Stegostoma tigrinum: one gene and its partners. The protein of the gene in region 2 interacts with the protein of the main gene of each other region in a pairwise test. Links are inferred from orthologs where the notes say so. Each region holds a gene or a part of one and is shown on either strand. Other genes may lie near its edges.

The links.
Region 1: the proteins of lmo2 (region 2) and heterogeneous nuclear ribonucleoprotein M-like interact in binary tests that used the Homo sapiens proteins (3 or more experiments, as listed by UniProt). The link is inferred for Stegostoma tigrinum from reciprocal best matches to the Homo sapiens genes LMO2 and HNRNPM.
Region 3: the proteins of lmo2 (region 2) and signal transducer and activator of transcription 1-alpha/beta-like interact in a two-hybrid assay, tested with the Homo sapiens proteins (2 studies listed by BioGRID and IntAct). The two-hybrid records come from large-scale screens. The link is inferred for Stegostoma tigrinum from reciprocal best matches to the Homo sapiens genes LMO2 and STAT1.
Region 4: the proteins of lmo2 (region 2) and rint1 interact in binary tests that used the Homo sapiens proteins (3 or more experiments, as listed by UniProt). The two-hybrid records come from large-scale screens. The link is inferred for Stegostoma tigrinum from reciprocal best matches to the Homo sapiens genes LMO2 and RINT1.

The regions. Positions count from the first base shown.
Region 1 is NC_081383.1:27,415,018-27,422,784, forward strand, and holds the start of heterogeneous nuclear ribonucleoprotein M-like, read right to left. Parts: upstream 3,021-7,767; 5' UTR 2,941-3,020; coding exon 2,831-2,940; intron 2,076-2,830; coding exon 1,891-2,075; intron 1-1,890. UniProt on the Homo sapiens protein: Pre-mRNA binding protein in vivo, binds avidly to poly(G) and poly(U) RNA homopolymers in vitro. Involved in splicing.
Region 2 is NC_081370.1:45,064,558-45,071,410, forward strand, and holds the start of lmo2 (rhombotin-2), read right to left. Parts: upstream 3,007-6,853; 5' UTR 2,797-3,006; intron 2,392-2,796; 5' UTR 2,186-2,391; coding exon 2,145-2,185; intron 1-2,144. UniProt on the Homo sapiens protein: Acts with TAL1/SCL to regulate red blood cell development. Also acts with LDB1 to maintain erythroid precursors in an immature state.
Region 3 is NC_081360.1:35,651,853-35,659,429, reverse strand, and holds the start of signal transducer and activator of transcription 1-alpha/beta-like, read right to left. Parts: upstream 3,024-7,577; 5' UTR 2,767-3,023; intron 1-2,766. UniProt on the Homo sapiens protein: Signal transducer and transcription activator that mediates cellular responses to interferons (IFNs), cytokine KITLG/SCF and other cytokines and other growth factors.
Region 4 is NC_081378.1:22,456,503-22,464,085, reverse strand, and holds the start of rint1 (RAD50-interacting protein 1), read left to right. Parts: upstream 1-4,572; 5' UTR 4,573-4,609; coding exon 4,610-4,759; intron 4,760-5,878; exon of another isoform or gene 5,879-6,024; intron 6,025-7,583. UniProt on the Homo sapiens protein: Involved in regulation of membrane traffic between the Golgi and the endoplasmic reticulum (ER); the function is proposed to depend on its association in the NRZ complex which is believed to play a role in SNARE assembly at the ER.

The DNA of each region.
Region 1 (7,767 bases), on a different chromosome or scaffold from region 2:
ACAGCGATGTGAAGAAAAAGTAACTTTTAAAAGCTACAATTAACAACATCGAAAGAGCAGGAAAGTTTTCTGAGCCGCACAAAACAGCAAGATAATACCAAGTAATTATGCCATTGTTATTTTACTCCATCAATTTCAGTTGAAGAGGGTATGACTTTTTAAAAAAAATTCTTGTTAATCATGTCTGTCATTGACACCTTGCCACAATAAATACTCAAATGTTCTATTGCTAAACTTGATCATTGAGGGGCAACAACAGCAAGACGGGAACTAATCCAAAAGGTTTCCATGGTCAAATTTTAAGCTGCGATGTGTTCTCTTCAGGTAAAGAAAATGTTTAAGAGTAAATAGCATTCATCAGAAGACTACAAGGGTACTGGATACATAACAGAAAACCCTAGAAGCACCCAGGTCAGTCAATATCTGTGAAAGCAATATACATAGTTAACAAATAAAAGCTGCTAGAGAAACTCATCAGGTCCGTCAGCATCTGTGCACAGAAAACAGTTAACGTTGAGCCCAGTGGCCCACTGGACTCAAACTGCTTTCTCCACACAGACGTTGTCAAAACAGAGATTCCCCAGTCATTTGTTTGCTTCAGATCTCCAGCAACTGCAGTTATATTTTTAAAGGTTAATACTTTCAGTGTGGACCTCCATGAGATTGGGTAAACATTTAACTGAACATTTAAACAGTTTTTAATAAAAGAGGGCAGGTCAAAACAGATTAGCCCATACTGCATTTAATTCAATAGATTTCATGGATGCTGACCCACAGGCCAATGTCCATACTATTCTGTTTTATGTTACTCAGATGTTCTTTGGTTTACACTGTGCAAACATTTAAAGATTGTACCAACAGACGAGGAACAATTTTCAAAAGTGTGTGTGTTAAGCATAGAAATACATTCTGCAGTCTACTACAGATTTGTTACAAGTAGGATGAGGGTTTACTTCCATGATTTTACACATAAGCTGCCAATTATGTAACAACTGAAGAGTGTGTGGAGAATATACAAGACAATGTGCACTTAATTCAACCTGAACTAATTACATACACATGCATTGAGCCAGTTACAGAGGTAATGGTTGCTAGGAATAAATGCAGCAATTTTAGTCAGCAAACATTGTTTCCTCTCAGATCTGAAGTATTTTTGACAGATTTTCCCTGTTGGAACTATTCCTCTGCTCAATTTCAAACACTATTACTTTGCCAATATCTTTCAAGATAATAGGCTTTTTTTTAAAAAATGGTAAAAGACCAAAGTTGTTTATATAAAAAAGCTGGGTTAATTTGATCTCAAATAAAAGTAAATTTAAAATTTCACAATTTGCACCCACAATAAGGCATTGAAAATAGTAACTTGAGATTCCTACCCTAGATGAGATTTCTCATCTGGCCTGCTCCCAGAACAAAACAATAACTTATGTGCCACCTTATCCCAATAACCAGAACAGTAATGGCAGAAAACACAATGTTACAGCCTTGTCCTTCTCAACATTAGAACAGATGTGACAAACTCAAAATTATTTTCTGTAAACTCCTAAACTTTTAGCATCAACATTCAGAAGATACTAACTCAATCCGAGAATTCTGTACCTCCCTTCCAATATACTGACACAATTCAGTGGTGCTAATGCAAACCTATTTTGTTTTATTCACGAACATCCTTCCGAATAGCTGTGAAGAAACATTTAATTAAAAAATTGACTGAACACAACTAAAATGCCAGGTGTCACTTCTTCTGTATAAGGGGGCTTATTCTTCAATACCAAAGTTTGGCATCAAGTGAAGACAAAAACAAAGTAATACAGTTAGTACACAATATTCACCAAAATTTAAAACTAGATTTTGAAATGATTCCAATTGACACACTACAACTGACTTTACCTTTCTCTCTCATTATATCTTTAAGTGTTTGCCATTTCATTTCAAATGGGATATTGCTCACAAAAACCCGGAATCTTGCATTTCTGTTAGTTGAATACGGCTCAAAGCGGTTTCCACCACGCTTGCTGCTTTTTTCCTTCAGCTTATCATTTTTTTCATTCTGAACTGAAGCTTCATTTGTTTCACTGTGAAGCACAAAACACTGTTTCAATATCAACAGTCTCACTGGATTCAAACTGCTGTAGGCAGTGGTCTTCCCACAAAACAAATTATCGCAGCACAACACAAAATTCACTTTAATATCCTGTTAATTTACCAGTTACTGTTTTAGAACAACAGACAATGGCTAACTACAGTCAAGGTTCCAACATAATCGTCGGTGTTATTATGAGGAAAAACGGGATAGGACGCCGAGGCGAAAATGGAATAAGAAACGAATCAAGACCAGAAGCAAATGTGGGGTGAGGTGCGGTGAGGTTCCGGAACAATGCACGAATGAAACAATATGGTGCATGCCCACGCGCAACTGAAAAAGGGGCGGGAGTGTGTCCATCTAACTCAAATGTGAAGTGGTGGGTAATTGAATTGTGAATTCAAATTATTCACATACCCAGCTCTAATTCTTCAGGGAAACGCGCGCACTAAAGAATAAAGCATTTTCGACCCAACGTGCAAAACCGACTTCAAATATTAGAACTGAAAAGACGACCAATTAAAATTTAAAATATTATTCAGTAATAAAATTGGGCGGTTCCTCCTACTTAACATCCTTAAGAGCTACTTCAGGCCAGCGATCAATGCGGAGTTAGGCCGCGGATTTCAGACATCCTGAAACGGCGGGCCTTTTGTTCGGCGCGCGGTGTCGCGGCCTACAGTCCCAACTGAAGCCTGAGCCGTTGCCATAGCCACACGGCCTCCCATCCCTCACACAGAACCGCACCTTTGGTTCTGATCTTCATCACCACCACTCGGGTTATTCTCATCTTGCTTCTCCTCCTGTTCAGGGTTGCTGATTACAGGCTCCTGGGGTGTGGGCTCCAAATCCGCCATCGACGCAACAACAAGCAAACCGAGCGCGCTGTCTGACTCGGAATGGCGTCTGCCCGCTATCGCGTGAAGGATTCTGGGTACAGCTCTGCTCGGCTGACGTCATACTGGATTCCCGCCAAATCTCCAAGGCAACTGGACCACATGGACAGGCCTACTTGAACTGCTAGACACAGTTTCAGTGATACTAGGAACTGCAGATGCTGGAGAATCCGAGATAACGAGGTGGATGAACACAGCAGGCCAAGCAGCATCAGAGGAGCAGGAAGGCTGACGTTTCGCGCCTAGACCCTTCTTTTTGAACAGTCTAGGCCCGAAACGTCAGCTTTTCTGCTCCTCTGATGCTGCTTGGCCTGCTGTGTTCATCCAGCTCTACAGCTAGAAACAGTTAACAGGTTAGGCAGCAAACTGGGCAAAAGGACATTTCAGGTTCATTATAACTGGAACAAGTTACCATTGGAACTCATTGCATAATAAGTTTTTCTTCAAGTTACTTTTTGATTATGTTTCCAATCACTTTTAAAGCAGTTTCTGTCTATCTGCCCTAACTGTCACCATGATGGTTTAGTTTCAAATATAACAGATTTAAGTAGTACAACGTTAGGGAAGGTTTAGATGGTAAGTGCCCTAATTCTTCAGTCCAGCACCAGCTTGATATCTGGGTGTTAAGGAGTTAACTGAATCCTGAAGGAGACATGGTGCTACCTGGTTGTTTTCAAACACAACTTCCAACAAAGCATCTCTTTTTAATGTACACACAACATATTAAAACATTGACAATCACTATATAAGAGCATTATCAAACAAAATTTTTAACTAGCAATAGAGCACTGGTGACAATGTGCTTGTCAAAGAGGTAGATTTTTAAAGAACATTTTATTGGAGGAGAGGAAGACAAAGAAGTGGAGAGATTTATAAAAGGAATCCCAGACTTTAAATTCAACACAAGGAAACATCATTTATCACTCACCATCCCAAAACTTTCAGTCTATTATACTAGCTGCAAATGCAGGGAGATCAGCGGTAAAATGATTCCGAATTTACAGCTGAACTGATACTCAAGTTCAGAGTTGTTACTCATAGTTTAATTTGTGATTTTTACAATTTAGATAGCGTGAAGCTGGCAGACAAGGTGCAAACTGACAAGCAAAAACACAACAAGTTTCAAAGTGAAACTGTTGTGGAGCAATAAACTTGCTCATAACAGATTGCACATTATCCCTTTTGCACAGGCACAGTATTTCAGCCATGCACTGACACTGAATACAGAAAGTACAGAGGAGATTTTAAAGTAGGGAATAAGAAGGGGGTCAGATGGTACGTAAACGCATCAGTGGCTATAAAAAGAAACCTAAAAATATTTTATAAGCAAAACCAAACAGTAAAAATTAGAAAAGCAGTGCTTATAAGGCACTAAAATAGCAATATACTTAGAGAAGTGGTGGCCATGACTGACGTACTAAATGAGTACTTTGTAACTGTCTTCACTGGAGGAGAAAATACTTTCAATGTAGGAGTGGGAGGAAGTAGTAGTTATACTGGATAGAATAAAAATAGATAGAGAAGATACATAAAGGGTTGGCAGTTCTCAAAATTGAAAAGTCATCTAGTCTGGAAAAGATGCATGTGAGATTACTGAAAGAAGTAAGTCTCTGGCCACAGACTTCTAACATTCCATAGATACTGGGATTGTGACAGAAGATGGGTGGATTAAAAATGTTATATCCCTGTTCACAGAAGGGAGACAAATAAATTCATGAATTGCAAGAGAGTCTAATATCTGTGTTGGAGAAACTGTTGGAGACAATGATCCAAGACAAAATTATTGAGACTTCAAAACATATGGACTAATAAATCAGATTGGGATATATAGTAGGCATGAACAAGTTGAACCAAAGGGTCTACTTCCAAGCTGTATGACTAATAAATAAACATAACTGAAAAGGCAAACTGTATTTAATTAACATGATCAAGTTTTTTGATGAAGTAGCGGGAGGGTGGATGAAAGTAATATGCATATGAAGTTTCATTGGGTGTTTGACAAAGTAACTCCAAATAATCTTATTACTGAAATCAAAGCCAATGAAATTGAAAATATACTCCAATATGCATGCAAAGTTGGTCAAAGGACAGAAAGCAATGAACGGTTATCTTTCAAACTGGATGTGGTGTTCCCCTTAGGTTGTAAATGAGACCACTACTCTTTTCAAGATCAATTCATAATCTGGACTTTGGTATACCAAATATAAGTTTGATTTTCTCATGAAAAAAAAATTCAGAAATGCAGTAAATAATGAAGAAGACAGTAACAGAAATCGGGAGGACATGGATCAGTTGATGAAATAGGAGGACAGTTGGCAGATCAAATCTAGAAAATTTTGACATTATACATTTTGTATGAAAGAATAAGGAGAGGCAATATAAATGTAATGGCACAATTTTAAAGAGGTCGCAGGAACATAGCAACTTAGGGTTATGCACACACTAATCTTTGATGATGACAGGAAAAGTTGAGGCTGTTGATAAAAGCATGTGAGGTTCTCTGATGAGGCTAATGCTGAGAGTATATATAATACCAGCCAGGCCTCAGCCGAGTATTTCGGAAAGACATCAAGACTTGAACATGGTGCAGAAGAGATTTATTAAGATTAGGCCAACAATGAAATGGGATGAATTAGCATGATGGCTCAGTGGTTTGCACTGCTACCTCACAGCACCAGGGACTCAGGTTCAATCCCACCCTCAAGTGACTGTCCATGTGGAGTTTGCATATTCTCCCCATGTCTGCATGGGTTTCCTCTGGGTGCTCCGGTTTCTTCCCACTGCCCAGAGATGTGCAGGCGAGGTGAATTGGCCATGCCAAATTTGCCCACAGTGTTCAGGGATGTGTAGATTAGGTGGGTTACAGGGGGATGGGTGTGGGTGGGATGCTCTGAGGTTCAGTGTGGATGTGTGGGGCCAAAGAGCCTGTTTCCACACTGTAGGGATTCTATGATCTTTAACTACATAGCTAGAGTCCAGTGAAGAATAGTTAGAGCAACAAGGATCATTCTCCTTTCTGGTTATGTTAATTTGTGGGAGCATGCTGCTTTGCTTCAGCTCATGTTTGACATGATTGGGTGGGCTTCAAGCTATGCATATCACAGAATCATTACAACATAGAATGAGACCATTCATCCTATCTTATCTGTACCAACTCTACAAACTAGCAATTCCCTTAGTGTAATTCTCCTCCTTTTTGTCCATAACCTTACACATTCCTTTTCAACCATGAGTCCAAATCCATTTTGAATGCCTTGATTGATCCTGCCTTGACTATGCTCTTAAGCAGTTCATAATTACTTCTCTCTCTCTCTCTCTCTTTCTCTCTCTCTCGCCATCCATCTCTAGTCCACGCATGATGGTCCACTCGTGATTATAACTCATTACCTACTGCCCACGGAAGAGGGACTCAGCTACTTGGAATTCTTCTCCTTGAGGCAGGGAAGGTTAAAAGGAGATTTGAAAGAGGCATCCATGTTCATGAACAATTTTGTTAGAGTAAACAAGAAAAAGCTATTTCTAGTGGCAGAAGGTTTGATAACCAAAGAAAGATTGTCAGAAGAACCAGTGGAAACAATGTGAATTGAAGAGAAACAAGGAAACTTTTTTAAATACAGCAAGTTGTAGTAAGCTGAAATACCTGAAAACAGCAGATTCAATATTAAGTTTCATGAGTGAATTGGATAATAGAATACTTGAAAAGAAAATAATTGACTGGTGTAAGGGAAAAAGGCAGGTGAGGAGGACCAAGTGGATGGCTCTATAAGGAACCAACACAAGCCTAATGGGGTAATGACCTTCTTCTATGTTGTATCATGCTATGGTTCATGCTTTCTTGAGATTATGCAAAATTTATTATATGGTAACTTCAGCAAGCAAAATAGGTGTAATTGTTTGACATTTGGCACTAGCAGCCCACAGAGCTGAGAGAAACACAACAGTCCATGTTAAAAAAAACAGGTGGTTAGTAACAACTAAGGGATTAATTTGCTTTCATGGATTCATTCAAATATTCAGCGTGAAAATAGACCAATGTCTAAATGAGGCATGCAGAAAATTCAAGGAAGAGCAGGAAAACACATGGCAGCTGATTTAGATGCCATTACATCGCAGTATTGGTACTACATTTGACCTTCACAGTGGGCCTCTGTTTTACAGTTGACCTTAATATTGCATTTTTTCTCAATATCACAAGTGACCTAACACTACAATTACACTTAGGACTGCTCAGTGATACCATTATCTCACTACCACAAGTTTCCTCGGAGGTAAGAGTCATTTTAGTAATCTTGGAATTGGGAAAAGAAAAATCAATTTGTTTATTCTTCTGTTCATATCACGGAAGTGCGACTGAAATGTTTAAAAGCTGAGATCGATACTTATTTGACAGTAAGAATGTTCAAGGAAAAAATGAAAAACAAGAAAGTTAGGATGAAAAAAGACATGCCTTTGCTTGATTTGTAAACTTCAACCATTTAGCTGCATAATATCCATTTTTTCAAGAACTATGTGGTCAACCAAGATGCCAAGCAAGATGTTCATGTATTAAATTCAGCTGAACAAGTACATTAATTGCCATATTGGGTGAAAAGAAGCAATAGACCTCTGTACCTACACCTAAAGCAGGCCAAATATTGGCAGATAAAACACCATGCTTAATGTCTCATTGCAGCACTGGCATACCTTGATATAACCAGTATCAGCCACTAGAGGCTGCACTCAAGTAAATCAGTCATCGGCAGCTCGTGCCAACCCTGAACATACTTGAACAAGGCAACTGATAAAACA
Region 2 (6,853 bases):
TTTAATTGAGTGTGGCATCAAAAACCTGAGCAAAACTTTAAACAAAAAGAGAATCATGGAAATCTCCCTACTGGGTGGAGTCACACCAAGCACAAAGGAGCTCAAACATTGTTGGAGGTTAATCATCTCCCTCCGAGAGCACTGCTGCAGGAATTCCTTGGGGTTATCTCAGAATACGGGCAAGAAAGTTGAACAAGCTAAAGAAATATTCTTACAAAGAGAAAGCAGATGCTTCAAACACCAAACAACCTCCTTTTGTAACCATTCTATGTGTTTACGAAGAATTTTTCAAGTTCGTTTGTAAGATCATTATAATGTATTTCTTGGTCATAGGCTTTCAAAGAAAATATTTGTTTCATTTTAAGCTGCATAAGGAAACACATTCATTTGCATAGTTCTTTTCATAGCCTCAAAAATTCTGATAGCTGTCAGACACAGAGCCACAATCAACTCAGACATAACCTTATTTAATGGTGAAGCAGACTCCATGTATCAAATCCTGCTCCTATTTCTTATGTGAATTGATCACTGTTGTCACAGAGGGAAGTGCAGGAGCAAAATTTCAACAATAATAAGATAAATGACAAATAATCTTGATATTGGCTGAAGGGACATTAGCCAGAACTCTCCAACATTTCCACAAATCATAGAACAGAATATTGTCACATCCAGCTGACCAGGCCAATGGTCTCTGCTTGAATGTTATATCTGAGGAACAGTGCCTTTAATGATACAGTGCTCCTATTTTGGGGTCATTTAGCTCGGCTGGTTTACAGTGCACTGTGGCACCACGAGAATGGATTCAACTCTCACACCAGCTAAGGTTACCATGAAGACTCTCCTTCTCACCCTCTCCCCTCACCTGAGATTAAATGATCACCAGCCATCTCTCACTCTTCAATGAGAGAGCATCCCAACGGTCTGGGCAGACGATAGTGACTTTAACTTAACTAACTCGACAATGTACTCAAGTGCCAGTCTGGGTTTTGAGCTGAATGGAGTCTGATGCTTCAATTTTCCGATTCCAAAGCAACAGTATTACCCATGAGCCAAGCTTCCTTAAATACTTATACTCACAACTGTGTCTTGAAAATTTCAGTGTAGCAGTTGATGTCCCAAAGGGATCGATAATAGAAAGATGAGTGAGATAGGGGCATTATTATAAGCGATGTACTGTTATTGTAAGATAGAACAATGTTGGTTTAAGGCTACACAATCTTCTTAAATAAACAGACGATGGTTAGAAAGCATTCTTCAATTGGAAGCTCAGCTTAGAAGCACGCAAAATATTTAGTCCTTTTCACATATTGGCATTGAAAATATATTACAGAAACTACGGATTCAAAAGTGCTATTGTGACCACATTTTCCATCATATTTCAGCAATATGCCTAAAAAATGCTTGTTTAAAATGAAAGAAAAATGGCTGGAGGGTTCATTCCCTTGCAGCTGGCTGAAGGGGAAGTTCAACTTAAAATATGAAGAGGTCACGAGAATTCCCCAAAGAGAGAGCGGCTCCAAAATATTAATATTGAAGTGACGGGTCCGCTGATAACGGATAAGTGGCAGATCAAATACACTTTGTGAACTGGGGAGGTTGGGGTTGTTGCGGGGGGCGGCGCGGTGGCGGTTACCGTGAAGAATATCGCTCGCCCTTCACTCGGTTTTTACATGTATTGAGTATGAATCAAACAGTTCCCACAACGCCGTCCTGCTAAAGGGCTAAAAGTTGCTCAGATCAAAAGACATGAGTAAACATGTCCAATAAATCAAAACTGAAATGATGCATGGTACATGACTGTCGCGGAAGAATTGTCTCTGGCGCGTCAATGTAAAGTTTATGAAATAATAAAATGAAAATAAATGCAATCCGTAAGATGTTACCATCTTCAAAACCCCAAGTGGTTAAGATCAGGGGCTTTTCTTTTAGTTGTAAGGCCATTATGTTGTCTCGTAGAAATCAAGAATATCGAGATGATTAGAAATCTCACAATCAGATGGTGTCTCTCTGGTCTGACTGTGTGCACGGACCCATGTTTGAGGAAATTGTTCAATCCTTGATCGGTTTGACTGAATCGAGTGCAATCTCTACACCTTTACAGCGGTTTGCAACGCAAATGAAAACGAGCCGGCAGTTTAACTCACTCTGCATTTTCCAGCGATTTCCTCTCGATTGTTGCTGACATTGGTTCGGGGACGGAGCAGGGTCGCCAACTCTGTCTCTCGCTCTCTCTCTCTCTTGTCTCTGCAAGGCCCTGAAGCTGCTGCTGGCTTTTTTTTATATACTGCGCTGAGCCCAGATCACACGTTTCCTTTTCCTCATCACGACTCGGACAATGCGCGGAAATTCGTGTTCGAGCCGCAGCTTTGAAGCGTCGTCAAGGGACCCTTCCTACAAAACAACACTCATCACTTTTAAAGAGGCAGGAGCCTGCTTGTGTTAAAGGCGCAGGGCAACACCGCTCTGAGAAACAATTGCAGCATTGCAATGACCAAACACTTGATCTATTTTCCTGCACCTATCTTTTCATTAAAATATGCATAATATAACCGCACGTGTTATATACATATTAAGTAAAACAGTAAAACCATTATAAACACAAAGCGTTTATGATAAAGATCCATTTTAATCAATGGTGCATCATGAAGTTCATTAAATTTGACTGCTATAATTTAAAACAATAAAATAATGAATATTATTTCGCACCAGAATATTAGACGTTTATTCGAATAATTTAGAATAATTAAAAATTAGCTTAAGAAGCTAATTGTTTTGAGGTTTTGATAATTAGCTCACGAAGCTTGATCTTGACAATGTGATGGGCTTTGGGAGTTGATACTGCTTTCTGTTCTCAGTCTGGATTACTAGTCCAGTCCCATTACTACTTGGAAGATGTGCAAAGGGCGACAAAATGTACTCTGGGTGGAAAACTTCGACCCCAGTTGACAGAAGACTGCAAGACTCAATAGGGGAGCCAGCATATCAGTGCAAAAGGGAGAGGCATTTGCAACTGTCAGCAGTCAGAGGTGTTCAGTGGGTGATCTCTCAGCCTCCCCCTGAGGGCCTCATTATCACAGCCACCAGTCCTCAACCAAATCACTCCAGATGACATCAGAGAATACTGAAGGCACTGTATGTGACAAAAGTCACCAACTCTGCCAACGTTCTCAATAGTTTGGAGACTTGTGATCCAAAACTAACCAAGTTGTACAGTGACAACGGTGATATCTACCCAGCAATGTGGAAAACTGTCTAGGTGTATCCTGTTCACAAATTGCTGGACAAATCCAACCTGGCCATTCATTCTACTCTCATGCAACAGCAAAGTCATAGAAAGTGTAATTGAGAGTGAAGCAGCACTTACACGGCAATACTCATTCATGTTCAATAATGCTTATTCATTTGGTTAGTTTGGCTTCTGCCTGGGTCACTCAGCTTCAGTCCTCATTACAATCTTTGTCCAAACACAGAAAGATCACTAAACTCAAGGTGAGGTGAGATTGACTGCCATTGACATCAAGGCTGTATGTGATTGAGTCTGGTATCAAGGAGCTTGAGAAAAGTTGGCCAATGGGAGTCAGGAGCAAAATTCTTGACTGCTGGATTCAGCACAAAGGAAAATTCTTTGAGTTGCAGGGTGTCAGTCATCTCTGTGTCAGGATGTCACTGCAGAAGTTCATCAGAGTAAAGTGTTTGGCCAAATCATCTTCAGTTGTTTCAGCAGTGACTTTGCCTCCATTGTAAAGTCAGAAATGGGGCTGCACTGGAAGATTACACAATGTTCTGTATCATTTATGTCTTCTTGTATACTGAAGCAGTCTGTGTCCAAACGCAGCAAGACCTGGGTAGCTTGGATTGATAAGTAGCAAATAACATTCAAGTCACACAAGTGCCAAGCAATAACTATTTACCACTGGAGAGATTTCAGAACCCTGAGGCCTGGAGGGATCTGAGTGTCCTGGTACATGAATCAGAAAATTTGTACACAAGCACAGCAAGTGCTTAGGAAGGCACATGGATTGGTGCTATTGATTGCAATGTGAATAGAAAATATAAAATTAAAGATGATTTGCTACTTTGGACTTTGGTGAGACCACATAGAGAGTGCTGAGTGCAGATTTGTCCTTAGTTAAGAATAGGCATAATTGCATCAGAAGCAGTTCAGAGGAAGTTCACTTGATTGATTTCATGGAATGGAATGCCTTATGAGGACCAGTTGGACAGGCTGGGTCTGTATGTATCCTTTGGAGGTTAGAAGAATGATGATCTTACTGAAACATACAAGATCCTGACAGGACTTGACGAAGGGAGTGCTAAATTGATGTCTCCCTCCATGGGAGAGCTGGGTGACATTGTTTAAAAATAAAGCTGCCATTTAAAGTGTAAATGAGAAGTTTTTTTCCTCTCGCAGAGGGTCTGTGGAATGAACTTCTGGCCAGAGTGGTGGAGTAGAGGTAGAGGTAGATAGATTTTTGGCAGACATGGGATTCAAAAGGAACTGAGGCCACAATCAAATCAACCCATGATTTGAATGAATGGGGGAGGAGGCTCAACAGGCTGAATGGCTTTCTACTGCTCCTAGGTTGAATATGGATCGCTTCAATCAACCTGGGGAAGTTGGAGTTAACCACTGATCAGAGACCGAATTGGACTAGCTATGTGAATACCATGGCTACCAAGTCAGAGGCTGAAAGGTCTGAGAGAGTAAGTCATCTTTTGGTCTCTGCATGTCCTATCCATCATATACAAGGCACAACTCAGAAGTGTGACACACTAATCTTTAATTGCCTGGATGAGCAAAGCCCCAATAACAACATTCAAGAATCTCAACACTATCCTGGACACAGCAGCCTGGTGGGCACTCCACCCAACATCTTCAACATTAACACCACCGTAGAGTCATAGAGCTGTACAGCATGGCAATAGATCCTCCAGTGCCATGTTTGCCAGCCAGATATCTGAAACAGATTAGTCCCGTTTGCTAGTATTTGGCCCATATCCCTCTAAACCCTTCCTATTCATGTACCCATCCAAATGCCTTTCAAATGTTCTAACTGTCCCGGCCTCTACCACATCCTCTGGTAGCCCATTCCATACACACATCACGCTCTGTGTGCAAAAGTGCCCCTGAGGTCCCTTTTAAATCTTTCCCTTCTCACCTTAAATCTATTCCCTCTTGTTTGAGACTCCTGTATCCTGGGAGAAAGGCCTTGTGTATTCACCCTATCCATGCCCCTCACCATTGTATAAACCTCTATGAGGTTACCCCTCAGCCTCTGATGCTTAAGGGAAAATCAGGCCCAGCCCCCTCAGCCCCTCCCTATAACTCAAACCCTCCAATCCCAGCAACATCCTTGTAAATCTTTTCTGAGCTCTTTCAGGTTTCACAACATCCTTCCTGTAGCAAGGAGACCAGATTTGAACACAGTATTCTAAAAGTGACATCACCAATGTCTTGTACAGACACAACATAACATTCCAATTCCATACTCAACGTTCTGACCAAGGAAGCTAAGCGTAGCATATGCCGTCTTCATCACCCTGTCCACCTCCAACTTCACTTTCAAGGCACTGTGCACCTGCACCATTCGGTCTCTTTATGTTCAGCAACACTCCTAAAAACCTTATCATTAATTGTATATGTCCTGCTCCGATTTGCCTTACCAAAATGCAGCACCTCACATTTATCTAAATTAAACTCCATCTGCCACTCATTGGCCTGTCTTATTGAAGTCCCATTGTACATCTCCAATGCACACTGGCAGTGTGTACCATTTACAACTTGCACTGCAGTAAACCACCAATCTTCCTTTAACAGCATGTTCCAAACTAAGTATCACTATTACTTCGAAGGACAAGGGCATTAGGTGAATAGGAACACCACCACCTTCAAGTTCCCTGACAAGTCATGAATGAACCATTTTGTTATCCTTTACTATCGAAGGATCAAGATCCCAGAGCTCTGGTCCCAGCAATACTCGGGGTATATTTCCATAAAGCAGACTTCAGTGGTTCAAGAAAAAAGGTCACCACCATCTTCTCAAGCACAATTAGGCATGGGCAACAAATGTAGGCTTTTCCAGTGATGCACACATGCCATGAATGAATAAAAAGTAACGACGATCTCATGTAAGTAACCAATCATCTAGACACCAAGTCGGACAGGAGATCTAGTTTAATCTGAATCCTGATTATGTTAGTGGGTCTCCATTTACAAGTAAACATGATATTGAGATGGTCAGCAGAGATAATGGGAACTGCAGATGCTGGAGAATCCGAGATAACAAAGTGTGGAGCTGGATGAACACAGCAGGCCAAGCAGCATCTCAGGAGCACAAAAGCTGACGTTTTCAAGCCTTCATCAGAGAGTGGAATGGGGAGAAGGTTCTGAAATAAATAGAGAGAGAGGAGGAGGTGGACCGAAGATGGATTCAAGAGAGTTGTAGTGGGAGAGCGATTCCCTGGGATTGGTCTGGAGGGAGGAGGATAACTTCTTCAGGTTAAGCATCCCTGGAAGAGGCTTCACAGTGAGGTTAAAACTGTGATCAGAGATAATGGGAACTGCTCTGATGAAGGGTCTAGGCCCGAAACGTCAGCTTTTGTGCTCCTGAGATGCTGCTTGGCCTGCTGTGTTCATCTAGCTTCACACTTTGTTATCTTGGATTCTCCAGCATCTGCAGTTCCCATTATCTCTGATCACAATTTTAACCTCACTTTGAAGCCTCTTCCAGGGATGCCTAACTTGAAGAAGTTACCCTCCTCCCCCCCGACCAACCTCAGGGAATCTCTCTCCCATTGCAACTCTCTTGTATCCATCTTCGGTCCGCCTTCCCCTCTCTCCCTATTTATTTCA
Region 3 (7,577 bases), on a different chromosome or scaffold from region 2:
CAATTTTAAGTACACATTCCCAAGCCACATGCCATCTTTACTTGGAACTACATCATTGCTCCTTCAGCATCACTGGGTCAAAGTCCTGGTGCTGCCTTCCTAACAAAACCTGCCCTTTCTGCATCTCAAGGACTGCAGCAGCTCAAGAAAGCAATTCATCACCAGATTCACTTGGACAATTGGGAATGAACAATAATTACTGACCCAGCCATTGAAGACCACATGCCACAAACATCTAAAAAAAACTAAGGTCAGATGAAGCTTCACATTTTATTTTAAACAATCCACAAATTTCCTAAAATACAATCTGGTTTGAGAAAGATAGAGGTTTGAGAAAGATAGAGGTGTTCAAAACAATGGTATCTAGACATAGTCGATATGAAGAGCTAACAAAGTCTGGAGATGGATGAACACAGCAGGCCAAGCAGCATCTTAGGAGCAGAAAAGCTGACATCTCAGGCCTAGATCCTTCATCAGAAAAGGGGCAGGGGGAGTGGGTTCTGAAATAAATGGGGGGGGAGGGGTGCGCGGATTGAGGACAGTTAGAGCAGAAGATAGGTGGAGAGGAGACAGACAAGTTAAAGGTACGGGGATGGAGCCAGTAAAGGTGAGTGTAGGTGGGGAGGCAGGGAGGAGATAGGTCAGTCCGGGGAGGACGGACAGGTCAAGGGGGCAAGATGAGGTCAGTAGGTAGGAAATGGGGATGCGGCTTGAGGTGGGAGGAGAGGATAGGTGAGAGAAAGAACAGGTTAGGGAGGCGGGGACTGCGGATACAGTGGGGGAAGGGGAGATTTTGAAGCTAGTGAAATCCACATTGATAAAGTTGGGCTGCAGGGTTCCCAAGCGGAATAAGAGTTGCTGTTCCTGCAACCTTCGGGTGGCATCACCGTGGCACTGCAGGACGCCCAGGAATGGGCATGTCATCTAATGAATGAGGGGGACAGTTGAAATGCTTCGCAACTGGGAGGTGCAGTTGTTTACTGCGAACCGAGCATGGGTGTTCTGCGAAGCAGTCCCCAAGCCTCTGCTTGGTTTCCCCGATGTAGAGGAGGCCAAAACGGGTATAGCCGATGCAGTATACCAAATTGGCAGATGTGCAGGTGAACATCTGCTTGATTTGGAAAGTCTTCTTGGGGCCTGGGATGGGAGTGAGGGAGGAGGTGTGGGGACAAGTGTAGCACTTCCTGCGGTTGCAGGGGAAAGTGCTGGGTGTGGTGGGGTTGGAGGGGAGTGTGGAGAGGACAGGGGAGTTGCGGAGAGCGTGGTCTCTCTGGAAGGCAGACAAGGGTGGGGGTGGAAAAATGTCTGGTGGTGGGGTCAAATTGCAGATGGCGGAAGGGTCGGAGGATGATGCATTGTATCCAGAGGTTGGTGGGGTGGTACGTGAGGACAAGGGGGATTCTCTTTTGGTTGTTATTGCGAGGATGGGTGTGAGGGATGCGTTGCAGGAAATGCGGGAGACACGGTCAAGGCTGTTCTCGACCACTGCAGGGGGGGATGTTGCGGTCCTTGAAAAACGAGGACATCGGAGATGTATGGGAGTGGAATGCCTCATCCCAAGAGCAGATGCGGCAGAGGCAAAGGAATTGGGAATACGGAATGGAATTTTTGTAGGAAGGTGGGTGGGAGGTGGTGTATTCTAGGTAGCTGTGGGAGTCAGTGGGCTTGAAATGGATATCGGTTTCTGGGTGGTCACCTGAGATGGAGACAGAGAGGTCCAGGAAGGTGAGGGATGTGTTGGAGATGGTCCAGGTGAACTTGAGGTTGGGGTGGAAGGTGTTGGTGAAGTGGATGAACTGTTTGAGCTCCTCGTGGGAGCACAAGGCAGTGCCGATATAGTCAATGTAATGGAGGAAGAGGTGGGGTTTAGGGTGTTTGGAACAGTCTAACACCAAACATTATAAATTTAAAGAGATCACTGAAAGAAACAAAGGTGACGCAAGGCAAGTAGCTCTGATCTGGAAGGTACTGCCTGATAGGATGGTGCTGACACATTCATTTTCAGCTTTGAGATGAAAGTTGAGGTCCAGGAATGGGGAGTCAGAGAGCCTGCACACACTTAATTGGATGGATAGTCTCCTTCTGTACAGCAAAAATTATTTACTTGAGTGAATCACTCCCATCAACTCCATCACACTAAAGGCTCCCTGTGGGACACGTGTCACTTTATTTTGGCTACTCAAACTGTCTGAGCTGACAAACTGGGAGATGCTGCAAACCTGAAACAAATACAGAAAGTGCTACAGAAACTCAGCAGGTCTGGCTGCATCTGTTCAAAGTGAAACAGAGTTGATGTTTTAAGTCCAGCATGACTCTTCAGAACTGCTATGAAGAAGAATCATAAGATGCTGCTTGACCCAGAGTTATAGAGTCATACAGCACGGAAACAGACCTTTCGGTCCAACCAGTCTATGCCAAACACAATCCCAAACTAAACTAGTCCCTTCTGCCTGCTCCTGGCCCATATCCTTCCAAACCTTCCCCATTCATATTTCCATCCAAATGGCTTCTAAACGTTATAAATGTACCCACATCCACTACTTCATCTGGAAGTTCATTCTACACACTAACTACGGTCTCTGTCCCCCCGCACCTCGCCGAGGCCCAAAGTGCGAAGTGATCGCGATCCAAAACAAAAATAGAAATCGCTTTAAAAATTTAAAGGGGCACCTTGTGACACAGTGGTGGTGCCGCTGCGGACACTTAGCAGAGTTAATGTTCCGGGTCCGGAACACTGCTTGAGGCGTACCTGAGCTCCTTACTTACCTGCACGACAAAGGAGAGGCTACAAATCCAGCAGCTGCTAACCCAAACAGCAACGCTCAGGGAACCCGTCCGCCTGCAAAAGCACCAGATCACACTCTGGCAGCTTTCCATCAGAATCGGAGAAGCCTGGGGACCAGGAGTGGGCGGAGTCGCCAGGACACGAAAGTGTGCGCACCCCGGGATCGCCCCCGCTGACAGTCAGACAGATGGACACAACCCTCCGCCAATCGCCGGCCGCTTCGGTGACGGGGGGCGCGTATTCAAGCTTCAGGGGGAAGTGGGCGTGGCCGGATGTTCTGGCTCTTGTACTGGCCACCCTCCGGAGAGAGGCGCGAGGGGAGGGAGGGTTCACGGAAGAGCGACACGTGGTTTCCGAGAAGTGACTGAGCCCGAAGCACTACCTAGGTGGCAGGAAAGCGAGAATCGAAACTAATGCACTGACGGCGCTGGAGGCAGAGCAAAAATGCTGAGAGGCGACGCTAGCCAATGTTAGCCACTGCACAAGGCGCAGTTGGTTTGAGCACAGATAGTTCTAAGACATCAAAAATAAATTGTTTATTACTACTCATACGTCTTCCTCTTGGGTCAACGTTATTCTTTTTATCTGTGCTATATGGAAGATGGAATAAGTCTTTAAGGGAGGGCTAGGTGAGATGGGGCTGTAAAGATTACAACTTAACGACGTGTTGCATATTAATATCGTTTCCTTTCTTCCCGTAAGGTTGGCACGAGTCTAGCACCAGCAAAAGAAATCTCTGACTAATGCAATGAAGTTTAAAAATAAGGGGTAGGCCATTTAGAACAGAGCTGAGGAAAAACTTCTTCACGCAGAGAGTGGTGGATATATGGAATGCTCTGCCCCAGAAGGCAGTGGAGGCCAATCTCTGGATACTTTCAAGAAAGAGATGGATAGAGCTCTTAAAGATAGTGGAATCAAGGGTTATGGGGATAAGGCAGGAACAGGATACTGATTGTGGATGATCAGCCATGATCATAATGAATGGTGGCGCTGGCTCGAAGGGCTGAATGGCCTACTCCAGCACCTATTGTCTATTGTCTAAAGTGTCATTTAAGTACGATAAAAAAAGTGGAGCTGGATGAACACAGCAGGCCAAGCAGCATCTTAGGAGAGCAAAAGCTGACGTCTCGGGCCGAGACCCTTCATCAGAAAAAGGGGATGGGGAGAGGGTTCTGAAATAAATAGGGAGAGAGGGGGAGGCGGATCGAAGGTGAGGTTAAAATTGTATCAGAGATAATGGGAACTGCAGATGCTGGAGAATCTGCCCTTTTCTGATGAAGGGTCCAGGCCTAAAACGTCAGCTTTTTTGCTCCAAAGATGCTGCTTAGCCTGCTGTGTTCATCCAGCTCCACACTCTGTTGTCTCGGATTCTCCAGCATCTGCAGTTCCCATTATCTTTGATACAATTTTAACCTCACTGCAAAGCCTCTTCCAGGATGCCTAACCTGAAGAAGTTACCCTACTCCCTCCAGACCAACCTCAAGCTTTTTCTGATGAAGGGTCTAGGCCCGAAACGCCAGCTTTTGTGATCCTAAGATGCTGCTTAGCCTGCTGTGTTCATCCAGCTTCACACTTTGTTATCACGGATTCTCCAGCATCTGCAGTTCCCATTATCTCTGATATCGTTTAAGTATGATGTTCGTTTTGGTGTCTATCCCTTGAAAGTTAAAAAGTGCTGGAAGCACTCAGCAGGTGCAGGCAGCATCTCTACTGTGGAGAGGGGAACAAAAAGTAAGCAATTCAAGTCTACACCTTGTGTTGCCCAGTATTCATGGATGTCCTAAGGTACAATTTGAGACAGAGTTCTCCCTCTCCAGATCCGCCTGAGGATGTATTCAATCGCGAAGATTCATGCTGTCACAATGACTCTCTGTCTTGGCTGTGCCCACCATGATTATGTGAATAATCATCTTTCAAGGGGCTAGAGGTAGAATAACAGAAAAAAATCTTCCTACCTGCCCATTCCCTGCGCCCAAATACACCTCGCTTACTGGATGAGCAAAGATCAGGACGCAGAAATGAAATCTTGAATCAGAATACCTAGAGGTGTCTCTGTGGAAGTTTAGGGATTGGAGATTCCACAGGATGGAATGAGACTGTTTAAGTTGTGTCTATATGTTCCCAGCAGAGCACTCAGAGACATCTGTTAATGAAAAATTCCACCTGGGAGGATAGGATTGTCCTACACATGAGGTTCTTCATGAAGGAGAGTTGGGGTTAAAGATGACAACGCAGTATGGAACTGGAGGAACACAGAAGGCCAGGCAGCGTCAGAGGAGCAGGAAAGTTGACAGTTTGGCTTGGGACTCTTTTTCTGATTTTTTTTTAGCCCTAGTATTTGTACACATTTTAGACAAGGTGCCAAGCATCCAATGCTACTCATGACATTCAATCCAATAAACAAACGCCATCGCTAACATCACTGAATCCTTCCTGTCTGCAATCTACCTGACACCAACCCCCCCAAAACTGGAACTGCGCGTTCTGAAGTGGCAATTCTTTCAGGTTGTCTATCTTCTCTGATGAGGAGAATTTCTGCTGGGAAGTAACAATGTCCCACAATCTGTTAAGATTCCAAAAGGAAACAGCAATCCTGAAACTATATTGATAAAATTTACCAGAAAGGAAAATTTATATTTTACATTACTCTACCTTCAAAACAATGGTGTAAATTTAAATGACTTGCACTTAGTATGTTGGTATTATAAACAAACACAGAGAATGCTGAAGAAATTCAGCATATCTGGCAGCATAATCTGGAAAGACTGACGGAATGAAATTCTAACTGTTTCTCGCTCACACCTACTGAGTTTCTTCCAGCATCTGCAGTACTTTGCTTTTCTAATTGTAGTAGATTTAATATTGGAGGAACTTATACATGATAATGAGTAGATTTCATGAGTACATTTGAATTATAAGGACATGGGTAGAAAATAACTGCCATGTTTTGGTTTTGGTCTGCAAAATACATTGAGTAAAGTAGGCTCCTGCTCCCCATTAGCCTAGATGGCTGCAGCTCCAACAACACTGAAGAAGCTTGACATCATTCAGAACAAAGCTGCCTGCTTGATTGATTGACATCACATCCACAAGCATCCACTCCCTCCACTATCGATGCTCAATAGCACTATCTACAAGATACACTACAGAAATTCACCCATGAGTCTCAGATAAAACCTTCCAAAACCATGACCACTTCCATCTAGAAAGACAAGTGCAACAGATATATGGGAACACCATCACTTGCAAGATCCCCCCAAACCACTCATTATCTTGACTTGGAAATATATCACCATTCCTTCACTGTCGCTGTGTCAAAATTGTGGAATTCCGTCCCTCAGAGCATTCTGGGTCAACCTATAAAATGCAGACTGCAGCGGTTCAAGAAAGCAGTTCACCGCCATTTTGAGACAGTAGGAGCTGCCGGTGCTGGAGTCTGAGATAACAAGGTGTAGAGCTGGATGAACACAGCAGGCTAGGCAGCATCAGAGGAGCAGGAAAGCTGATGTTTCGGAACATCAGCTTTCCTGCTCCTCTGATGTTGCCTGGCTTGCTGTGTTCATTCAGCTCTACACCTTGTTATCACTGCCATTTTCTTTAGTTTCAACTAGGGACAGGCATTGAATACTTGCCAGCTAGCAATGTCCACATCCCATGAATGAATTTAAAAAAGACATTGTTTTTAAATGCTGGGTGTGCAAACCTATCTGATAAGTCATTGAGAGAAAGATTGGTTAAAAAGTCAAAATTTAAATGCCTGTTATTGAAGTTATCTCTCCTCCAAAATGGTTGTTAATAAACATTTTTGACTGTCTCAGTAATCACTAAATATTTCATGCTTAGAATTACTCAAAACAATTTTAATTCTAATGTTAAGTTCCATTTTTCTTTCATTTTCACACTAATAGTGTCTCTGAAAATAATTGGAGCTCTAACAATTTGGTAACTTCAAACAAAAAATTAGAAGGATATTTTATTTCATAATTTGAGCACCACAACAAAAAAAATTGCAAAACTAAATAAAGGCACAGATAAAGCACAGCCCAGAAATACTTTTGCCCAGAAATGTTTTTGTGCTCCTGAGATGCTTCTTGGCCTGCTGTGTTCATCCAGCTCCACACTTTATTATCTTGGATTCTCCAGCATCTGCAGTTCCCATTATCACTATCATGCCCAAAAATACTTGCTCAGTTATTGGCACTGAAAAATCTTTGGGAATTGATTAGTATGACTGATTTAAAACAAAAATAAGTTTGGTTGTGCTGCAGCAATTTAGTAGCTTAAAGATACATCTTGCTTCAAGTTTGACATTCAATTCAAAATCACATTACAATCATTGAGGACTTTCTGACAATTACTTGTTGTAGAATATAAAATATAGAATACAAAACAGTTTGAACCCAGTTTAAGCTATTTCCGTGTATAACTTGGCAAATTAAAGCAAATTATCAATGTAGACAACATGTTTTGTGTTTTGAAATAAAGAGAAAACACAGCCATGATGGATTAAACAGTGTAGAATCGCATTTGACTTGCATGAATTTTATGGCAAAATTACTTAACTGTGATGGTCTTTGTGTCCCTGGTATAGTACAAATTAGTATACTTTTGTTTTAATAGCATACATCTTTTTAAGTTCTTTCAAACTCCTGCCATGGCACTTTAGTTTAAAATGCCAAATCATTTAGACAGTTATTCTTCACAAGTATTCCTGTAGCTTGTTACTTGAGCATATAAGTTACCCACACAGTGCAAAGATCAAGCTCAAGTATTTTGTGAAGTCTAGGATTCT
Region 4 (7,583 bases), on a different chromosome or scaffold from region 2:
GATTCTATGTTACTTGTGCTAGTATCACACAATACAGTGCCGTCTCCTAAGTCTGAAGATGGATCTTGTCTCTTGTGACAATCCTGTCACTTTAAATTGCCCTGGGTTTTTTTTAAAGAACGGTTGTGAAGGCAGAGGTGGTGACCTGGCTATTGAAAACAGCTAAAGTAAATAACTTAGAAAGTCTTTAGGTTTTATTAAGAACAGTTGGAACAATGGATGGGGAGTGGCCAGCTCTCTCAAACCAGGCTTTCTAATTTTTTTTTAACTGTAGCAGTCAGAAGCCGTTTGGGGTCCCAGAAGTGTTGAAAGCTTCAGTAAGTGATTCCTAGCTGCTGCTTTCTCTGAAATCTCTTGATGTTGTTTCCTACTGGATTGGAGAACTGCGTGTAAGAATCTGTGTCTGAATTTACCTTTTTGCCACAGGATGTGTTTTTGGAAATGTTGTTGTATTGGAACAATTAATTATTAATATGTACTGTATCTATTATTCAGTTAAGTCACTCTAAATTCCTCTTTCTTTTGTTTGTATTTTAACTATAGTGTTTAAATAAATTGTGTTTTGCTTAACATCAAGTAGTTTGACCAGTTGCAAAAACCTGGAAACACACACTTCACATCTATCTTCAAAATAAGAAAAAGTTAACAGTTTAGGCTACCTTCTTAACATGTTTTGAGACAGTCTGGTCTCGTCTGGTCAACAACACATAACAGGGACTGTGCAGTGATCGTTCCCACCAATACTGTTAAGGACAAATGCATCCGCAACAGGTAGATTAATGAAGATAAAGTAAAGGAGGTAACCCCCAGTGTTGGTTCTCTCATTAGCTACTGCGAGCCCAGTCTGAAAGCCTGTTCCTCCAAAATTCTATCACCTCAGTCAGTGATGGTGCTAATGGGCTACTAATCCTGATCAACATTGAAGTCCCCTTTCAGGATGACCAACTTGAAGGAAAAAAAATACAAGGTATGCTTTACTGGAGGAGTTGATGAGACTGGAGGAGTAGGGGCCCATATGACTGGAAGGAGAAGGAAGCTTCAAAGGAAAACTTTATGCAGTTTCAACAAAGTCAAGGGGACCAATATGACTATCTCAGTTCACAGACGTTTACCATCACGACATATTTCATATATTTTACTTAGCCTCCCTCCTTGATAGTATGTGTTGTCCCTCAAAAGGCCGCATACTCCTGATACATCACATTGCTGCCCAACCTCCCTCCCTCTCGCCAATATTAAAGCCCCTCTCTGCAAATTCCTAACCCCATCTTCAAGGGCCTGCTAGTAAATTCTCTTTCTGGCCTTCAAGTAAACTCTCCATCAGGCCTGCTCACCTTTTAGGTTTGCCAGATACTTCTTCAAGTCTGTCAGCTCTATCAGGGTACCTGGTCCCTATGTCCAATCAGGTCCGTGTGAATCTCACCCCATCTGCAGGTCTGCCTTGATCCTCCTCACCCTCCAGGCCTGCTATCCTTGATTCCAGAGTTGAGAGAGCTGGATTGTGAGGAGAAACTGAGCAGACTGAGATTATACTCATTGGAATTCAGAAGAATGAGGGGAGATCTTATAAAAACATATAAGATTATGAAGGGAATAGATAAGGTGGAGGCAGGGAGGTTGTTTCCGCTAGCAGGTGGGACTAGAGGGCAAAATAAAGGGAAGCAGATGTAGGAGTGAAGTCAGGAGGAACTTCTTCACCCAAAGGGTTGTGAATCTGTGGAATTCCCTGCCCAGTGAAGTGGGTGAAGCTACCACACTGAATGTTTTTAAGGCAAGGCTAGACAAATTTTGACCAGTAAAGTAATTAAGGGTTATAGTGAGTGGGCAGGTAAGTGGAGCTGAGTCTCAAAGGTCAGCCATGATCTTATTAAATGGTGGGTAGGCTCGAGGGGCCAGATGGCTTACTCCTGCTTCTAGTTCTTGTGTTCTTATCCCAAACAGCACCTGGACCTGACCGCTGCTGCCGCCACCACCAACTGTCAACACAATATCTCCCCATCCCCAAAGTTGGGCTTGAGAGTTCTGCAGCTGCTGGCCTCAACTCCTACCCCACACCAAATTACCTCTGGATCCCTCCAAACTCAGCCACCCGTTTGCCAAACTGATGTGACTCTGGGAAGAGTGAAAGATAGCACACTTGTTTACTTCTTTGTGTCTGTATGGACTCGTGTTTATGTGTGCACACTTTGCTGACTTTGGACTGCCCATGTTAATTCAGCAAAATACTCAGGCAGCAGCAAGAGGTGACTTGAGGTGCCTTCTCAGTCACTGATTAGAGGAACCGGGGAAGAATAGCATTTCAAATTAGCTTAAATTCTATATTTAGGAATGGAAGCCAAACTGACACCATCCCTGAAAACTTGGAAACAAAAATCAAAATAACTCAAAACACTATGTCTGGCAGCATCTGTGGAGGAAAAGCAGAGTCAAATGTTTTGTGTCCAGTGACCCTTCTTCAGAACCTTCAGGGTTCACACCATTGGTGAGTTTGAGGACGAGGACCGACACCGCAGTATAGCATTCTATCACAAACCTACGCATAACCTTACGGTGCCACACTTCTCTAGCTTCCACCAGAAACCTATTAAAACAACCATCCCTTATGGACAAACCCTACACATACACAGAATCTGTTCAGATAAGGAGGAGTGAAACTGAAACCTAAAGGTGTTGAAGGACACCCTCATAAGAACAGGATACAATGCAATACCCATCAATAGCCAGCACCGACATGCCACAGTGAAAAACCGTAATGCCCTCCTTAGAGACAGACGTGGGATACATCTGACACAGTGCTCTTTGTCATGCAGTGCTTCCCAGGAGTGGAGAAACTCTGCCACGTTGCTCACAGCCTTCAATGCATTATCAATGAGGATAAGCACCTCACCAAGATCTTCCCCATGCCTCCACTTCACGACCTCAAACAACTGCCCAACTGTAAACCATTGTTCGCAGCAACTATCCAACCTTCTGGACAATATTGATGACAAGTCTATACAACCCTGTCATTAGTAGCTGTTGTAAGACATATCAGATCTTCAACATGGACACTTGGGAGCACGTGGGAGAACTACCCACCGTGTGCCTGGCAGATACTCACGTGACTCAACCAACAGTGTTTATCTCATATGCTGCAAGGAAAGATGCCCCAAGGCATGGTACATTGGCGAAACCATGCAGACACGACAACAACAGATGAATGGACACTGCACAACAATCATCAGAAGGAATGTTCCCTCCCAGTCGGGGAATACCTCAGCGGTAAAGGACACGTTAAGCCTCGGATCTTCAGGTAAACAACCTCCAAGGTGGGCTTTGGAATACACAACAATGCAGAGTCGCTGAACAAAGATTGATAGCCAAGTTCCATATACATGAGGACAGCCTTAACTGGGATCTTGGGTTCATGTTGCATTACAGGTGACCCCACCACACTCAACTCTCTCTCTCTCACACACACACACAGTCTCTCTTTCTATCTTCCCTCACACATAAATACACACACTTTCTCTCTTTCTCTCACACTCAATCTTTCTCTCCCCCCTTCCCCCACACACACTTTCTCTTCCCCATTCCCCCAAACATACAGACTCTGCCTCTACCCCCAAAACACACACACTCTCTCTCCCCCTCCCCCCCCCCCACACACCCAAACACACCCCCCACACACTCACTGTTTCTCTCTTTCTCCCCAACTTCACTCACACACACAGTCACCCTCTCTACCCTACCCCCAAAACGTCAGCTTTCATGCTCCTCTGATGCTGCTTGGCCTGCTGTGTTCATCCAGCATCACACTGTGTTATCTCAGATTCTCCAGCATCTGCAGTTCCTACTATCTCTAAACAAGGTCCTACACCTAATATGCGTTGTGTGACCTAAAATGTCACCTCCTCTGTATACTGCAAAGATCTTTATTTCTCTCAGGACCGTGTCTTGAAAGGAATCTGGCGATTTACATATACATATTAATCAATTAAAACCTTCTAATTGATTTAAAGATTTAGCAGCATCTTAAGATTTGTTTAGTCCATCCTCAGTGGTGTGACCTTTTGATCTTTTACTTATAAATTCAATGTCTGATACTACCTATTTCACTAACACCTGAAGAAGGAGCGACGCTTAGAAAGCTTGTGATTTCAAATCAGCGTGTTGGACTCCTTTTCTGATGAAAGGTCTAGGCCCGAAACGTCAGCTTTTGTGCTCCTAAGATGCTGCTTGGCCTGCTGTGTTCATCCAGCCCCATACTTTGTTCTGTTGGACTACGACCTGGTGCTGTGTGATTTCTGACCTTGTCCGCCCCAGTCCAACACCAGCACCTCCACATGATTTCTGCAGATGCTGTCAGAGTTGTTGAGCTCCTCCAACATCCGCGGTTCTTTGTGTTTATTATCCGAAGAGTCTGGTCTGCGCTGCTGTTGAACACTGGCGTGTCACAAAATGGTTAAACATTAACTGTGTTTCTGTCTCCACTGGCGGTTTGAGCATTCCTCCAGCAGTTCCGAACTGTTCTCCATCGTTTTGCTGGGATGACGCCGAGTCAGCCTGTGCGCGGTCTCCATGGTAACCGGTCCGGTTGCCCGGATGTGGTGACGTGCCAGCCGCTGTCATGGCGGCGGAGGATGGGTATGGTGGCGAGCTCACTCAGCATGTGGTCGAATTCGTTGAGAAAGAGTTTGGAGACGATCCGACATTATTAAAGAAACTCCCAAAAATAATAGAGGAGCTAGCGCTGAGTAAAAGAAACCTGGAGGAGCAGGTACTGCGCCTGGGCCTTGTGGAATCCACTTGGCTTAAATAATTTCACGGTCTTTCCTCCCCGAAACGTGCATCAAAATAAATGCCATGCACACTGTGAATAAATAAATTTAAAACCCTAGCTTGAGTCTCAGGTATAAGACATTAGGTCTTTATTGAAATTGGAAATGTGCTAAGTATTTCCTCAATGCTAGTGTTTCGCTATTGAAATCACTACTTTTGAAAGAGAAATTGCACGCCTGGTTTATGTCTCGATCAAAGGAGGATAACTGGTTATCTCTCTGGTCAAAACAATGTGCAGTTATTGAGCGGACCTACCAGTATTTACCGTCGCTCATGTCTGGTATATCTGAAATATCTCTCGTTGTCCATAATGATCGTTTCAACAGAACAAAACATTAGCTTTCATCGAATATACTTAGACGTGCACTTTTCATACTAAGGCATTTATAAAATGGTGCCTTGTTGATCTGTATAACAATTTTTTTCACAAATTTGGAATGCCAAAACAGATATTAAGCTGTCACTCTAACTTTTTTTGCCATGTGTATGTGTTACTCAATATTTGTCATCCGTCCTGAGTTGAGCAGGAAGAATCAAACCAGATTGCTGTATGACGGAAGCCATTTTTTGGTTAGACTGTGATTATGTTTGTCGTAATATAGTTGAATTGTCAGGTTTATAGTGACCAACAAGCTGAAGGACCACCTGACCGGCAAAACAAATAGTCAGTCAGCCACTTGTTATCTTTTCTGTTCCTATTTCCTTATGTTGCCTCTAAGCAATGTTGCATTCTGGCCTGTGAGCCCGATAAAAAGAAGAACAGTAGTCCGAATGCTCAAGTAAATTTCTACAGCAGTCCTAGTGACACTGTGAAAGTGATAACTGAAGAACTTGGTTTGGTTTAGCTGCTCATCAGTCGTTTTCACCAAATAGTTGAACCCAATCAATAAACAGCACTACATGGCTTCCATTTTAGTTTTGAAATGTGCAGTTTTCTGTATGTGGGTGATTTAGTAACGTCCAAAAGTATTCAACACTCATTTTGATTTATTTGTTGAAATAAGCAATTGTAAACAATAGGACATCATTGACATAAAATGAGAGATTACAGAAAGTGTGGCCATGAACAAAAATTTTATTCAACATCTGGATGCTGTGTCTGGAAATCGCAGATGATTGATTGTAAGCACTTAGGGAGCAGAAGTCAATATGTAGAGATTTTTCCATTCTTCTCCATACTGGAATGTCCTATTTGTATCAATTCTAATAAAAAAAAGAGTTTGACCATTGTTTTTATTTAAAAATAAATTAGAGTACGCCATTAGAAACAGAGATCTTTACTTAGCAGTCTGTCACCACCATTTTACAGTAAATGCAGCATACTTGCTCTATGGATTACAAAACCCTCTTGAAGCTGTCCTTCTGACTCTAAGCATATTGATCTTGATTGCTGATGGTTTAAAATTTCATATCTAAAAAAGATTGTGCATCTGTTTATTTAATTCTCCACATATTTTGTATCAAATGGCAAATGTCATAACCTGATGACCACAGGTTTGACAAGTATCAAAATCCTATAGGACCATGCTGAACTCGAGCAGAGACACTTTGATTCCAAGTGAACCACGTGACTATTTACAACAATGCGTCATTCTCATTTGGTATGGCAGAATTTGAAATTAGCGAGTTGCTATTTCAATAATAAATTCTGAATAAATTAGAGGCTATAAAGGCCAATTGTGGTTTGGTACATTACCTATTTTAATTCTTGGTGACCGCATGATTGCTAGTAGAATTTTCATTGCGTAGTTTCAATTTTTATACAATGTAATGGTTGAAAAGAAAACCTTTTAATGTTTAAATCCATTAGCATAAGAAATGGAAATAGTAATGTGCCGTTCAGCTTTTTTGAGCCTGCCCTGACATGTAGTGAGACAGTGGCATGTCAATAACTTCTACTTCAACTTTGTTTTCCCACCCTATCCCTTGTCCTTTCATTCTCTCAATATCAAACAACAGATCTCTAACTTGAATATGATCAACAACCAAGCAACCATGACTCAAAGATTCACATCAAAGTATCTTGGATTACGTTTGGGAAGTGTGGAACATTCATTTTGGGTGCGAGGTCCTTTAAAATTATCTTACACTGCGACACACGTATTAAATTAAAGTGGCCAACTTGTGCACATCGAGCAGTTGAGGGGTAACATGGTTCATAGTGCTTTGAATGAAAACCTTCTCTACATCTCAATCCTAAATGGATATTCCCTTATTCTCAAGTGGTGAACCTTAAACCTTCAATCTCCTTAACGAAGGGAAGTATCCTCACAATATCTCGTTAAGCCTGTTGGGCAATTTCTGTTACAATTTGATCACCCCCTAATCTTCAAAACTCTAGGATATATAGGCCCGCTGTCTTCAATCTGTTCTCATCATACATTAAGACTGCAGAACCCATTGTTGTACTTACTTTAAGCATGTATATCCTTTATTGGGCATAAAGATCAAAACTGTATTCTGGGTGCAGTCTCAATGAGACCCCTTTCAATGTAATGGCTTGTTTATTCTTATACTCCAGATGCTTTTTAGTACAGATTAACATCTTGTTTGCTTCTTAATTGCTTGCTGTATTATTGGTTTACAGATACATATGCCAGCCCAGTTGGTGCTGTTGTGGCACAGTGGTAGCATTCCTATCTTTAGGCCAGAGGTTTGGATTCAAGTTCCACTTGCTCCAGAAGTATGTCATGACATATCTGCACAAGATAACTAAAAACAAAACTTCCAGTTCCTCTGATTGTCAACATTTTCCATTTTCT